Drosophila melanogaster: one gene and its partner. The gene in region 2 interacts genetically with the main gene of each other region. Each region holds a gene or a part of one and is shown on either strand. Other genes may lie near its edges.

Evidence for each region.
Region 1: of abd-A (region 2) and pb, changing one suppresses a phenotype caused by changing the other (phenotypic suppression), as found in Drosophila melanogaster (one study listed by BioGRID).

Annotation. Positions count from the first base shown.
Region 1 is NT_033777.3:6,737,149-6,745,237, reverse strand, and holds the start of pb (proboscipedia), read left to right. Parts: upstream 1-3,174; 5' UTR 3,175-4,070; intron 4,071-5,063; 5' UTR 5,064-5,138; coding exon 5,139-5,688; intron 5,689-8,089. Other genes in the region: zen2 (zerknullt-related), read left to right, coding at 1,164-1,223, 1,291-1,989. UniProt on the Drosophila melanogaster protein: Sequence-specific transcription factor which is part of a developmental regulatory system that provides cells with specific positional identities on the anterior-posterior axis. Controls development of mouthparts, and labial and maxillary palps.
Region 2 is NT_033777.3:16,821,967-16,829,716, reverse strand, and holds the start of abd-A (abdominal A), read left to right. Parts: upstream 1-1,611; 5' UTR 1,612-1,713; coding exon 1,714-2,582; intron 2,583-3,409; coding exon 3,410-3,666; intron 3,667-7,247; coding exon 7,248-7,295; intron 7,296-7,750. UniProt on the Drosophila melanogaster protein: Sequence-specific transcription factor which is part of a developmental regulatory system that provides cells with specific positional identities on the anterior-posterior axis. Required for segmental identity of the second through eighth abdominal segments.

The DNA.
Region 1 (8,089 bases), about 10 Mb from region 2:
ATGCTGGCTTGCAGTCTCGTCTTGAATTGTGTATATAAAATCATAAAATTTAAGGTAAAATCTACAATTTGCTCTTTCTGTAAAGTCCTCCACTTAGATTGTACCAAAATGGAGAATGTAGAATCTTACGGATCATCTGATAGGCTACTCGGGGCTACAATCTCGTCTGAGAGATTTGTTTTTGGGTGGACTTATGCTATTCCCTCCCAGAAAACCTAGTTTTAGTTTACATAAGCCCGGGCGATCGTAAATCTGTGCTATATAGCACGTAGCTCGGGGGATATGACCGATTTTATAGCGGGCGATTGGATTAGCTTGAAGTGACACTGTTTTTACAATCAGGGATCAGGGTCGGATCGCTTAGCAATGCTAAGCAGGTAGCTCAACCCTTAGATATTCATAACTGACGCGGAAAACCCCGGGAAAAACCAAGACCTTTCCCGTTCATGGCCAAAACATACCTGGCCGGGGGATTGGGGTCTCGAAGGCATGAAAAAAGCTGGGCAGATCCGTAGGTATATAGGTAGGTAGGACTATCAGTGGATATTTTGGATGACAAAGTGAACTTAGAACACACTTATTTTCAAATGATAGTCAGTTTTTATTTGGATAAGAATGGAAATATTTCTCAATACTGAAATATTATTTATCTATAAGCTATCTCGTAGGCCTAAAGTTGATTTAAAATTAAAATAATTTTTATCTAAGAGTTAACGTTTAGGTGCCTTGAAAATGGAGATGTATTTTAATGTTTTCATCACAAAATGTTTCAGATCTTAAAATATATTACATTTGATTTTTTGCAAGTATTTATTTGACGAACTAAATAATATCATATAAATAAAACAAATAGATCCAGACGTAACATTAATATCCCCTGAATAATATTTCTCCGTGTGACGCTACTTAGAAGTACGTCGGTTTCTCTGGAGCCTGGAACTCACCTTGATTCGGAGCCAGGCTCAAAAGGACGCGACATCTACCAGCCCAGACCAGCCGTCTGGGAATTTGAAAGTGTCGCAGGCGGGACAGGTAGGAACCAATCCGATCCGTCACGAAGGGCTTCTGGGGTATATAAGCAAATAAGGAGAATCTAAAGGTATCTAGTTAAAAAACATCGGCCACAGCGGTCAGAAGCCAACAAATCGCGCTCTTCAAGAAAAATGTTTGCCATTCAAAGCGAAAACTATTTTGTGGACAATTACTCAGTCAGTGATTTAATGGTGGGATTTAAAAAATTACTGCTTATTTAAATAAAAACTAAGATTTAATTGATCTATATATTTATAGATGTATCCTTGCGTCGAGTTAAACGTAGAAGCCGCTCCCACGGCAACAACAAGGTCTTCGGAGAAATCAAAGAGATCTCGCACGGCATTCAGCAGTCTTCAGCTAATCGAACTAGAAAGGGAGTTCCATCTCAACAAATATTTAGCCCGAACCAGGCGAATCGAGATATCACAGCGTTTGGCACTCACAGAGAGACAGGTTAAGATCTGGTTCCAAAATCGTCGCATGAAACTCAAGAAGTCGACCAATAGGAAGGGTGCCATTGGAGCGCTGACCACATCTATTCCACTTTCTTCCCAGTCGAGCGAAGATCTTCAAAAGGACGACCAGATCGTAGAGCGTCTCCTTCGATATGCCAACACAAATGTGGAAACAGCTCCACTCCGGCAGGTTGATCACGGTGTCCTGGAGGAGGGTCAAATTACACCACCCTATCAGAGCTACGATTACCTCCATGAATTTTCTCCTGAGCCCATGGCTCTTCCCCAACTGCCCTTCAATGAATTCGATGCTAACTGGGCGAGTTCATGGCTGGGCCTTGAGCCAACGATTCCTATCGCAGAAAATGTAATTGAACACAATACACAGGATCAGCCAATGATACAGAATTTCTGCTGGGACTCGAATAGCTCTTCTGCTTCATCGTCGGATATTTTGGATGTTGACTATGACTTTATTCAAAATTTGTTGAACTTTTAAATATATCTTTGACTATATGTTTAGGCAACTGTACATACATACATATATAATCATTGTATTATACGAGCAATATCTTTCTGTGACTACATTATTATTACTTATTTTGGATGAAATAAAATATGTTTTATAATTAATGTGCGCATTTATTTGTTCAAACAAAAAATGCTGGTTGTGCAGCATTTGGGGATACATTTTGCGGACTCGATTTTCAAAAATTTCACCACCAGACAAATCAAATATTTTTAGACAAAATTCCATTTTAGTGGGCGATACAGTTGAGAAACTAAATAAGCTTGACTTGTTAAAACATTTATTTATATGATATTTATAATGAATGGCCTTGGCTTTTTATTTTACTTAATGCTTCCTCAAAGTTTCTGTATTTTTCACACATATATCTTTTTCACAATTTTAAACAATCTCATGGTGCGCATCGTCATTACGTAGACTGCCGATCACATAGCTCCCTGCTGTCAGACAACTTGTTCGTCAGAGCGTCCAAGTACGAACACCACCCCCAGCTGCAGTGCAAAATCGTGGCAATATTTTTACACCTGTAGTGACACCCGTGTGCATTAAAATCCGCACATAATTACAAACTCTGCGCGGACTGGATTGGAGAACGTTAGCAAAAAGAGGGCGAAAAAGCGGCCAAAAGGCAAAAAGCAATGCCACCAAGATTGACAGGAGAAGAGGCGCCCAAAACAAAAAGAGCGATGAGCGAAGCAAAATGTCAAAAATACCCATAGCCGAAAGCCAAAAAAGCCGGAGAGCGAGAAACTCGCTACTGTGGCTTTTTCTTTTCATTTTTTAGCAGATGCGAAATGTGTAAATAAGAAAAACCAAATAAATTCCGTCACAAGCAACACGTTCGCGTTGGAAGTGGAAAAAAGTGAATGAGGCAAGAAAACGCCGCGGAAATGATGGCCCAAGATACAGGGGTTCCCGAGCTACACGACCGCAAAGATACAAAACAAACTGCCGAGCCGGCCAATCAGAGGGCCGGAGACTTGTGCGCCGGTGTGTGTGAACTCCACCCCCTGGTCTCTGCGCGTAATGGCTATAGTAACCAGTTTCCAGATGGCACCGCGCATGTGCCGACCAGGAAAAAGCGTGATGGATGCGGTGGCTGTCGCTTAGGCCACTCCTTGATACTGGGTCCCAAAATCCCAGTTCAGTGCGTTCGGTGCTATTGGATGGAATGGTTGTTGGCTGCTATCTAGCTCTCGGGAACCGCACGAAGCTCCCCAAAAGCCCTCTGTCTCGCTCTCGCTACGAATCGGTTCGGTATCTAAAAAATAATATTTATTAAAATGACAGCTACAAAAATAGTTCAAAAATTTTGAAAACTAAAAAGTGATATTATTAAAACGAGTTGAAACCAAAAGTTTTACTATACGGTTGAGAAGCACTTTAGGAACCCCTGGAAACCCGGTTCTGCGCACCTCTTGAAGGCCAGAGAGGGACAGCTAGTGCCCACATGTGTATGAGTGCGAGTGGAGAAAACTATCTCAGACGAATTGCAACGACTGAGTGTGTGTCTGTGTGTGGCCATTGCAGCGATCGCAGCGACTCTACAAAACTCTACAAAATCAACACATTCCGCATACGCACCGTTGTACAGCGCGTACTTGCACTATTGTCGTTATCGCCGTTGTTTCGTCGGTTGTGTTGGCCTTTCGCGTCGCCATGGCTGCCAAAAGGTGTGTGTCTATGTCAACCTGAAAGCGAAAAACCAACTCCAAACACCACTTGACGGTTGAGCAAACACAACGGTGGCCATATTTACATTCGGATCTGGGTTCCCTCGCTCTCGTCGCGGTTGTCGCCTCTTTTCGCGGCCCACAGATAAGCCCTGACACACTGAAGTTTTACGCAAAACCCGCATCGCAAAAGTTGTGCCGGTTGAAACTAAAAAAAAAAAACAAACAAAAAGTTAAGCCAGTTACTATGAGCGAGTGCAGACAATAGTGAAAACGGTGACCCAAGTGATACCGGTGAAATTTCCACAAAGAACGCATATGTCAACGTAAGAGGAGAAATATGGAATACTGTGGTCTGTAAATGATCAACTTAATATGGTACGAAATTATCTTACACATATTTCTTACCTACATTTAAAAATAAGTGTATCCTTTTAAAGCACGAGAAAATCAAAGCGTGTCGTTATTTCGTTTTTGATACAACATGTTAGTCTAAAATACGAGCCTTTTAAGTCGGCAAAATGTTTACTGCAAGAAATATTTCAAATCTTTAATTGGCGGAATCGGAAAATATATTCGAATTTTCTTATTCATTTATACTTCCTAGGAAATTAGCTATGCGGCATTTCTTAGATGAGGATATGTAACAGCTTTATAACTTTTTCTGTTTAAAATATGTTAATTTATTTACTGACTATTAATCCTTAAAAAAATAATGTAAAATAATGTATGCGAACCAAGCCAATTTAGGTAACATTGTAGGACAGGTTGTATGTATTGTACATACATACAATACATATTGTCAAATCTCAATCGAAATTAGGTGGCCATAAATTTAAAGTGAAGGCCTAACAATTTCTATAAGAGCAATAGTAAAAATGCAGACTACAAATGAATTTCTGGCACAGAAAACTGAGAGACTAATGAAATATAAATTGGAATATGTAATTTAAAAATAGTCAAGTTTTTGACAGTTGCAATGTGAAAAATTGGATCGGTAATAATAAAATAAACATTGATTAGCATAGTAAAGTGACGATGTTTTTGTTTCTTAAAATGTTAATGAAGATAATGACATATCTTAATGAAGTATATACGTACATTATATTGAAATTATATATATTCAAAATATATAAATAAAAATTCAAAAATTATAAATATAATAATAAAATAAACATTGAATAGCATAGTAAAGTGACGATGTCTTTGTTTCTTAAAAGGTTAATGAAGATAATGATAACATATCTTAATGAAGTATATACATACATTATTCAATTTCACATTCGATAAGAACAGTGAAACCTCTAACTTCCTGGGAACTGAATCGTGATAACATTATTATGAGATTACAAAAATGGCTTTCCTTTCCAGGTTCCCAAGCTGAGGAACATCTAATACGCTCAGGAATTGAAATAGAAAGAATCTAAAAAAAATTATACCCAAGCTATGCAAGAAGTCTGCAGCTCCTTGGACACGACCTCAATGGGCACCCAAATCAAATCGGAATCTCCACTCAACCCGCTGCAGGTGCAAACTGGACAGACGTCCCTGCCAGTGGGTGGTTGCGGTGGTGCGGGCGTCGTGGGTGGTGTGGGTGGCGTGGGAGTGAGTGTTGGTCAGCCTGGTATCGGACAGCAGGGGGTGCCACCTGTGCCGTCGGTGCTCATGGTCAACAAGATGACCCCGAACTGTGATAAACGGAGCGCGGACACGGCCTATTGGATGACAGCATCCGAGGGCGGGTTCATCAATTCGCAGCCGTCGATGGCTGAATTCCTCAACCACTTGAGTCCGGAGAGTCCCAAAATCGGAACACCTGTTGGATCCGGCGCCATTGGCGGAGTAGGCGTCAACGTTAATGTCAATGTCGGCGTCGGAGTCGGATATCCGGTTGGCGTTGTCCCTCAAACGCCGGATGGAATGGACTCGGTGCCGGAGTATCCCTGGATGAAGGAGAAGAAGACATCCCGCAAGAGCAGCAACAACAACAATCAGGGTAAGTCCACATGCACATTACACTGGGGGAAGCATAAGGTTTTTAATTTAGCGATCGACCATGTCAATTTGAACACCATTCTCTGAAGAATAGGCGATAATCTCATCAGTCCATCTCAAACTATTGAATCAATCAAATAAAAAGTAAGATATTTTTATAGACACTTTTCCATATCAGTTTAGACCGGAATCAATTGGGTTCTCTTGTCCCGGCCATTTTTTCTTGCCGTGTACTGGCTGGTGAAATGCGAAACTCTCATTAATCACGAGCTCACAGAAACCTAAAGACTCCAATAGCGCCAATTATGCCACTACGAAGTCCCTCTGGCACCTGGTTTCGAAGTGATGAAGAAAGAGCCAGTGCTTTCGCTGACCATTTACAAAATGTATTCCGACCAAATCCCTCTACCAACACATTTATTCTCCCTCCTTTAATAGCAGCCAATCTAGATCCTCAAGAACCCTTTGAATTCCGACCATGTGAACTAGCAAAGGTTATCAAAGAGCAACTGAACCCAAGAAAATCGCCTGGCTACGACCTAATAACTCCAAGAATGCTCATTGAACTCCCAAAGTGTGCTATTCTTCACATCTGCCTGTTGTTCAACGCAATCGCCAAGCTTGGATACTTCCCTCAAAAATGGAAAAAGTCGACCATAGTAATGATTCCAAAGCCAGGAAAAGATAAAACGCAGCCATCATCATATAGACCGATAAGCTTACTAACATGTCTTTCAAAGCTGTTTGAAAAAATGCTACTCCTTCGGATTAGCCCTCATCTTAGAATAAACAACACACTTCCAACACATCAATTTGGCTTTAGAGAAAAACATGGAACCATCGAACAGGTCAACCGAATCACGTCAGAAATTCGTACTGCTTTTGAACATCGAGAATACTGCACAGCCATTTTTCTAGACGTCGCGCAGGCATTTGACAGAGTGTGGCTCGATGGACTTTTGTTTAAAATAATCAAGCTGTTGCCCCAAAACACACATAAGCTACTGAAGTCATACCTATATAACAGAGTGTTTGCAATAAGATGCGATACAAGCACTTCACGCGATTGCGCAATCGAAGCTGGAGTGCCGCAAGGCAGTGTACTGGGTCCAATCTTATACACCCTGTATACGGCGGATTTCCCCATAGACTACAATCTAACAACCTCCACGTTCGCTGATGATACCGCGATACTCAGTCGCTCGAAATGCCCAATAAAAGCCACGGCACTCCTATCCCGACACTTAACATCTGTAGAACGATGGCTTGCCGACTGGAGAATTTCAATAAATGTTCAAAAATGCAAGCAGGTTACCTTTACCTTAAACAAACAAACATGCCCACCACTGGTCTTGAATAACATATGCATTCCACAAGCCGACGAGGTAACATATCTGGGAGTTCATCTGGACAGGCGGCTCACTTGGCGCAAACATATAGAAGCCAAATCGAAACATCTTAAACTTAAAGCAAGGAACCTCCACTGGCTCATAAATGCTCGCTCTCCACTTAGTCTGGAGTTCAAAGCTCTTCTATACAACTCCGTCTTAAAACCTATCTGGACTTATGGCTCCGAGCTGTGGGGCAACGCATCCAGAAGTAACATAGACATTATTCAGCGAGCACAGTCAAGAATTCTGAGAATTATCACTGGAGCGCCGTGGTACCTTCGGAACGAAAACATACACAGAGACCTAAAAATCAAATTAGTAATCGAAGTAATAGCTGAGAAAAAAGCGAAGTATAACGAAAAGCTGACCACCCATACAAATCCCCTCGCAAGAAAACTAATCCGAGTATGCAGTCAAAGCCGGCTGCACCGCAACGACCTCCCAGCCCAGCAATAAACTTATTAGGGCATTAATGAAAAAAAAAAACTATCACTAAGTGAAAGTTAATTAAGTTAGATTAAGATTTGAACACTTATTGTTAGTCTCTTAACACAAAGGGAAGATTCAATAAATAATAAAAAAATTAAAAAAAAAAAAAAAAAAAAATCACGAAATCAATGCAATTTACCTTGCATTAAATGAGGCACAGCATGGCGGCGCCTTCGCCACTTCCCGTCCAGAAAAACAGGGCCAGAACTCGATGTCCGTACTGCCCGATCCCGATCCCACTCCCAATCCTCCCTGCACCTTTACCACGCCACTCGATCACGCACCGAGAGGGTTCGGCTCCTTTGATGGACAGCTCGGTCTGTGCCGGCAAAGATCTGTTATTTGAGATCATTTGTAACAATTTTCGAGAGTAGAGCGGACCAAGCTGGAAATGTTTCATTTATTTCCCTTCGCTTCGACTCGAGTCGAATGTGTCGATTTCATTTGCGCAAGAAATACGAAAAGCGACGAGCAGAGTACAAAATATAAAAAAAAAAAATACAGAAAAATACGGCTGGACTA
Region 2 (7,750 bases):
TGCGGAACTCAGCTCTCCACTCTTTGGAATTTCGGCCCTCCGATTCCGATTCGGATTATACGATTATACGACTATACGACTGTAGTGCGGCAATACGATTCAGTTTCCGATTCGCCGTGTTTATTGTTCCGTTTCGGCCGCCGGCTTATTGTCACTTAAATGTTATAGATCGCGTAAAATATAATAAAATTGTGTGTGAAATTTAAAACCGAAAAAACTGTCAAAACACTATGGTTTATAACTCACTGTGTGCGGTTCGTAAAAATTAAAAAGACATAAAGTTGACATCGTAAAAAGGTTCTCGCCTCTCCGTTCCAGACTTCGATAGTTCTACCTGCAAAGTGTTTTATGACATTTTAAACAAAGTAATTAAAGCAAAACGTTGGGAGAAAGCATTTCTCCGGCCACACACACACTCACGCACTTGAGAAGTCGTTAAAAGCCGCAGGAAACTCACTCTGCCATAAAAATACAAGAGTGCCATTAAAAAAGATCGCGCGCCTATAAATCACACGTACGAAATCCCGCCGGCACGACGTCCATTCGAATTTCCGCGTAATTGATGACCGCATTTTAATTGCTTTTACAACAAATAAAAGATACACACACCCCAAACACACACATGCGACACACACACTTGTGCCACAGCTGCAAATACAACGCAACCCGAGACCATATGCAAATTTAACAAATTTCGTTGTGAATTCGCCAGCTTCGAGCGAAAAAAGTAACAGAAACAGAAAAGCTGCAAATACAAGCTGCTCGCCAAAAGTTCGCTAGAGAAAACTTGAGAAAGGTAACAAAATGCATTTCACTTCTCGGAATCGAGAAAAGTAGCTTAAAGTCGGGCAGCTGGCAAAGTTTCCGAATTCTGTCTCACTAACTCTATCTAAAAAGTACTAACTGTTGGCCATCTCATATAGTACTGTAAAAGTAACCCACATACTAACTCGTTGGCACTGGCAGGGAAATCTAGCTGAAAAATATATAAAGCATTTGGATTATATATTTTTTTCACTTGAGTTCTGTATCATGCTACCCGAAAGATTTATGTTCAATCCAAACATATTCAATTTGGTTAATGTTCTTTTTATGGTTTCCGAGTAATTTTTATAAACATGTTATATTTTTTGTTTTGCCATTTTTAATTCTTGTTTATCACATTGGACGCCAAGTTTATTTTTGTTTTTAGTACCTTTTAATTCGATTAATTTTGTTAGTGATTTATATACTAAGTCCAATGTAGTTTGCATTCGATTATGAAGTAGAAAAGTTAAATACAGAGACGGGAGATGTTCATTAAAGACAAGTAAATTTTAATAGACATTGATACAAATTAAATTGCTGTGTAAATCTTATGAAAAAGTTAAAGAAAAAGATATTTTTAAAATGCTATTTCTCACAGTGTTGAATTATAAAGTCATTCAAGTTTAAGATTTAGGTTGTGCTTACAGAAGTAGTCGGAACTTTTGTTTTATTATGGCTAGAAAGCGCTCCTCTCCACGCTGAATTCAAACAAAATTTGTTAAAGTCACACAAAGAGGAAACTTTAAATTATAAAACGAAATACTCAATCTAGCCATTAACCAAACGACTCAGATAAAGAACCCAAATCATTCGAACTCAGAAATCTCCGAAACTAAAATAGAACAACAAGTGGACTAAACGAAATTCCGAAGATCCGATCCTCGGCCAGAGAGCAAAATATGTGCAATGTCAAAATTTGTTTTCGATAGTATGCTGCCAAAGTATCCACAGTTCCAGCCGTTTATCAGTTCGCACCACTTAACCACCACCCCCCCGAATTCGTCATCTGCAGCAGTTGCCGCCGCCCTAGCCGCCGCCGCCGCCTCTGCATCCGCCAGCGTTTCAGCCAGCAGCAGCAGCAACAACAACAGCAGCAACACGATCGCTGGAAGCAACACAAGCAACACCAACAATAGCAGCAGCAGTCCAAGCAGCAGCAGCAACAACAACAGTAATCTCAATTTGAGCGGAGGATCCCTATCGCCGAGCCATTTGAGCCAACATCTGGGCCAATCGCCCCACTCACCCGTCTCCTCATCGTCGCCCTTCCAGCAGCACCACCCACAGGTGCAGCAGCAACACCTGAACCACCAGCAGCAGCAACATCTGCACCACCAGCAGCAGCAACACCACCACCAATACTCCTCGCTCTCGGCCGCTCTTCAGCTACAGCAGCAACAACACCACATTAGCAAACTAGCCGCCGCCGCAGTTGCCTCGCACGGACACGCCCACCAGCAACTGTTGCTAACGCCCCCGTCAGCGGGCAATTCTCAAGCGGGCGACAGCAGCTGCTCCCCATCGCCCTCGGCATCCGGTAGCTCCTCGCTACACCGCAGCCTCAACGACAACTCTCCCGGGTCCGCATCCGCGTCCGCCTCCGCATCCGCGGCCAGTTCCGTCGCTGCTGCTGCAGCCGCCGCCGCCGCTGCGGCTAGCTCCTCGTTTGCCATCCCCACCAGCAAGATGTATCCGTACGTGTCTAACCACCCTAGCAGCCATGGAGGGCTCTCCGGAATGGCCGGCTTCACCGGACTGGAGGATAAGTCGTGCAGGTAAGATAGATTGCCCTGTTTAAGTATGGGATAATGCAGATTTTTATAAATCGGGATGGGTTTTATGTCCAATCGTAGTAAAATGATCTTAAATGACCCTAATAGGAAGTGCAAATATAAAGTCAATGACAAATGATCTATACTATCTAATATGATATTCAAATATTTGGAGTGCATTGATAGAACTTCTCAGACAGTATCATATTTTAAAATATATGCAAATTTAGTATGACCATTAGCTTTACCTGGCTTCAAAACCTTTAAGAAGATGTTTCCGGGGTTGAAAATACAAAAAAAAAGAAACACTCAGCTCTTCCAAGAACTAATTTCGCGTGCTCTCAATTTGGCGAGCGGAAATGCCAGTCGAGACCTTCAGTAAAATCTGCAAACACTGCAAAACCGCAAATCCGTTTCGAATGCGCTCTAATTATCGGGTCTCGGATCCTGGGACTCTGTCCATTTTCCTCTCGGCCACCGGCCATTCATATTGAATGGCCATAAAGTCGGAAAATTAGAGCAGCCTGTGGTGGCCGCTGGCAATTTGTCGCCGGCCACAAGATTCGCACGCACGCTGACCTTCCGCTGCGGCCATTTGCATATTAGTACTACTGTATGGGCACTCCATGTGCATGTACAGTGAACCCTGCTGTGCGTGGGCGTGTTCGGGATTAGTGTGCAATTAGAGCTAACCGCAGTTTGGTGAAAGGGGCATGCAAATGGCCACCTCATTAGCATTTGACTTTAGTACGGGCGCTGGAGTTGGGAACGTACTATGAGAGCAGGGATCACCAACAATAATGGCTACTTTCTCTCTCCCACACCCACAGCAGGTACACGGACACTGTCATGAACAGCTACCAGTCGATGAGCGTACCTGCCTCGGCATCTGCACAGTTCGCTCAGTTCTATCAACATGCCACAGCCGCCGCATCCGCGGTATCCGCGGCCAGTGCCGGCGCGATCGGCGTGGACTCGCTGGGAAATGCCTGCACACAGCCCGCCTCCGGCGTGATGCCAGGGGCAGGGGGAGCGGGCGGAGCCGGTATCGCCGATCTGCCCAGGTATCCCTGGATGACGCTTACAGGTGAGTCAAAACTCGATACTCGATAGTGCGGAGATATATTATACATAAGTAAAAAAATAACTGCCAGATTCGGACTCTTTGTGAAAGACTTCGGATCTGAATGTGAGTGCCAAATTTGATAAATCTTGAAAGTTATCCGATTTTTAGAATTGAGAATCACACATATCCCAATACAAGTTTATCACACTGAGCCAATCAATCAGTCTTTTAAATTAAGAGTCTGTCTATCGTATCTACTGTGTTCTATATATCATGCCAATCATTATAAAATCAGAAATAATCCGTGCACTTCAGGGAATGTATATCGTCTTAAATCAAGAATAAATTGCCTTCAAGATCTACAAAGCGATCTCTTAAAATTTTTTGTGTACATATAAATCATGGCCACTTACACTGAAATCAAAAAATCAAATAAAAAATTGTAAGAACTTATATTGGATTGAATTATTTAGTCGCTATGTTAGGTTAAATACTATAATTAAAAAATTTAAACAGCTAAGTTGTTTAACAACCCGTAGACTTAAACCAGGTTCGAACTGATTTACAAATTGTATGACCTAACAAAAAGCGTCCAGTCGAATTATCGAATTAAATTTCCCAAGTGTAGTATTTGGAATGGTTGCTGCGTACCTTTTATAAACAATAGATAAACGTGGCGCAAACGTTCCCCAATAGCATTCCCATTTGCACCGCCATTTCGCCTACAATTCCAATTCGTAATGAACACTTTGCGGAGCACTTCCAAGTCGTTTATTTCGCATAAGTCTTCCAGGCGATTCGAATCCGTAAACGAAATGAACGAAGAGCTAAAAAGTTGGCAGTAAATAAAAATGAAAATAGTTTGAGAAATGCTTCTCTTGTCTGTCGTGTTATTTGGCGTCGATTTGTAATTTAAATAGCCTCAAGGTTGCCCCACACCGACAAACGTATAGCCCAAAATGCCGACCAAAAAACACTGCGATGTGCCCCGCGCATACAAAATCCACATATCCGTCGAGAGATACAGATACAGATACTTTTTGGCCGCCGCTCTTTTTATGCGGCTAACGTAGTACGGGCGAACTCGCTTCAAATTTATGTGGGTCAGTTTAATTTACGCGATCCGCTCGCTTTTTCCGCGCATTTTGCACAGCAGATTTATTTATCATTTCTCATCAGGCCACTCGATTTCCACGCTGCACAAGAAGAAATTGAACGAATTCAATTTTCCATTCTGCCCCGCGGGTTGAATGCCTCCTGATTAATGGCAGACACCATATGAATAGACTGTCAATTGGCCTGACTTATGGACTGCACATCGGTCGTCGTAATAGAAAAAGATCGCGCGACGGATTTACGCGGAATTTACGGCATAGGCATGTTAATTAAACAGTATAAGTAATTGTTAATTGACGATCTAGCAGACAGAGTTTAAATAATGGCATTAATACGAGATAACAAGGTAGTGTGCTTAAGGGTCCAATGTTTATCAAGTGGTATATTTTGTCAAATCATTAGAACTTAAAATCATCGAGAAAAGAGGTTCAAAAGTTTCTCGGTCTTTTTTTTTTTGCCAGCATAATTTACATATTTGACCAGATTTGGGTGTCAATAAATCGATAACCAGCGCTCCTATTAATCTATGCAGATTAAAAATCCATTCCTCTATTTTAGTGGGTTTCTGGTTCGTCGATACCCCGAAAGATATTAATATGTGGCTAACACACCTATGTATTTGGCCGGCCAGCTAATAGATACACACATTCTGCAGGCAAAACCTGATGGTGAAAAGAAAACCCGAAGCATCGGCCAGTTGGGAAGATAAACGGTATTTCGCACAATGAAATATTTTGCATATCTCCCGCTCACAGCGCCAAGGCGATAAAATTGTCAACGAGATCATAGAGACGCGACTGGCGGCGATGAAAGTAAATACGAGCATGACGCCATTATGGCAGCCAAGTGCGCGACACGTCGACGCAGCCCCCTTTATCCACCACTCCTTAAATGCACATGCTGTACATAAAGCTGTATATACATACGTACGAAGTATATATGCATGTGTTTTGGCACTATATCCATGCACTTGCATGTGGATTGCACAAGAATCGCTTCGCCTCCTTCGGAAAAGTCTTTTCGTTTGGCTTTCACTTTGCCAAGCCTGCGAACCCACCCAAAAAACTCACAGACGAAGACCAAGACCCAGACCCGGACGCACCGGCAACATGAACAACTGCAACAGCAACTGCAACAACCATTGCTGCAACAACGGCAACGTTTTACAGCTGAATGCTTGCCAAATGCAATTTAACTAATGAATTTTAATATTTTACGCCAAAGCGTCTGAATGAATTTTCATTTTCACATCGTTGCACCGACTCCGACAACAACATCAACAATGTTGCCAAGGGGGCAGCAGCGGGAAATCGCAGGAAAAGCTGGAAAATGAGTAGAGCTGCGCGCCTGCACCTGATTATGCTGATAAGAAGCAAAGAGGTTAACTTTTCTTAATTATCTGGAAAAGCGCAGCCCGACAAAGCATGAAAATGGCAAGTTTCCCATCGCTATCCACATTGAGAATTCGCAAACTCAGCACGCTCCGTGGAGAAAGGAGGAGGTGGACACAAAAAGGTTAAGAAGTAGGCACACTGACAGAAAACGTGCAGTGGGTTCTAAAAACCCGTGGATATATTTACTGACTCAAAATAATTAAATTCTTGTTGAAGAAACATTTTTTTCAGAAATGTAAACCTATAAAATACATTCCTAGTTATTCAGCACAATAGACTTTGGAATTTTATATTGATATTAGAAGTTTGTTATGGGTCCGAGTATCTATTAACGTATTTTCGTCCATGTGCAGTCAGAACACTGACTTGGCTAGATAAGAAACGTCTGCACCATAAATTGTACAATCATCAGTGCGACAAAGAAGTCTCGGCCTGCAAAATCTTTGCACATATTAGAGATTGTCTGTGCCCCGTCCGTCCGTCTTTCCGTGTGTCAAATAAAGTGGCAACAACGACTGGCGAATGACCAGAAATTTGTGTATTTTAATTAAAAATGCACCAACGATGCCGAGCAGCTTCATCTGCTTATTAATTAGGAGGAGTCCGTCTGGTCGTTGGCTCGCATCATCATTCTCCCCTCCATCTTGCAGTGCCTTGACTAGTATTTTCCTCATATCTCCGTCGATATCGCCGACATCTTCTCCTCCTCCAGGCCGACCATCGTGGTCTACTTAAAGTGGAGCCGGTCCAACTGGCCGGAGGTTCACTCGGCCGGTGGTCCGCCGACTGCCGACTGCATTGGGCCGGCTAATGCTGCTTTTTGTGGCTGGCGCTGACAACTAAATTGAAAACGGCCCGATTGAGTGGTTTATGAAAGCTGCCATGTGGCACAAATGTCCGAGGGGGCAGTGGACAGATATGATTTGAGGGATCGACGCTCCATTACTCAGCGGGATGCTCTCAAGGCTGTTTGGCGCGGAATTTCGCATTAGCAGCACATATGAGAAGCACAACTCCTTAGTTCCTTAGAAAAAAACTCAAAGAAAAACCGAAAATTAATTGCTTTTCTCTTCCTCCTTTTTTTAATTTCAGACTGGATGGGAAGCCCCTTCGAGCGTGTCGTTTGTGGCGATTTCAACGGTAAGTACCGCAATTAACCGGAAACCCTTGAAGTTAATATCCCGACTGACATTGAAGCAATGGGTTATTTCACTAATCGGCCGTGGAATATGCCGGAAAATGCTGTTTTTTAGAGCCTGCCTAGATGGCCTTGAAAAATATGATTTACCTGCTCAACCCAGCGACTTTCACCCGCTGAAGGAAACCCTTCTTTGTAAAATGCAGCCTGCAATCTGCCGTCACATGACTCCTGCTGTCCTGTCATAAATCCCTCAACCTTTGTTCTCACATCCTTGTCTTATTCATTGTATAATTTCATTGTTTATCGGAGTCATCTTCTGGCTAATATCCAAAGCAACCAATGGTTTTGAAGCCAAAGGTTTGGACGTCTGGCAACTGTTCGCTTTCTATGTTGATTTAGCAAACTCCGTGAAAGTTGCACCGATAACTCAAACATGCCGGTCAAGTACCCGACC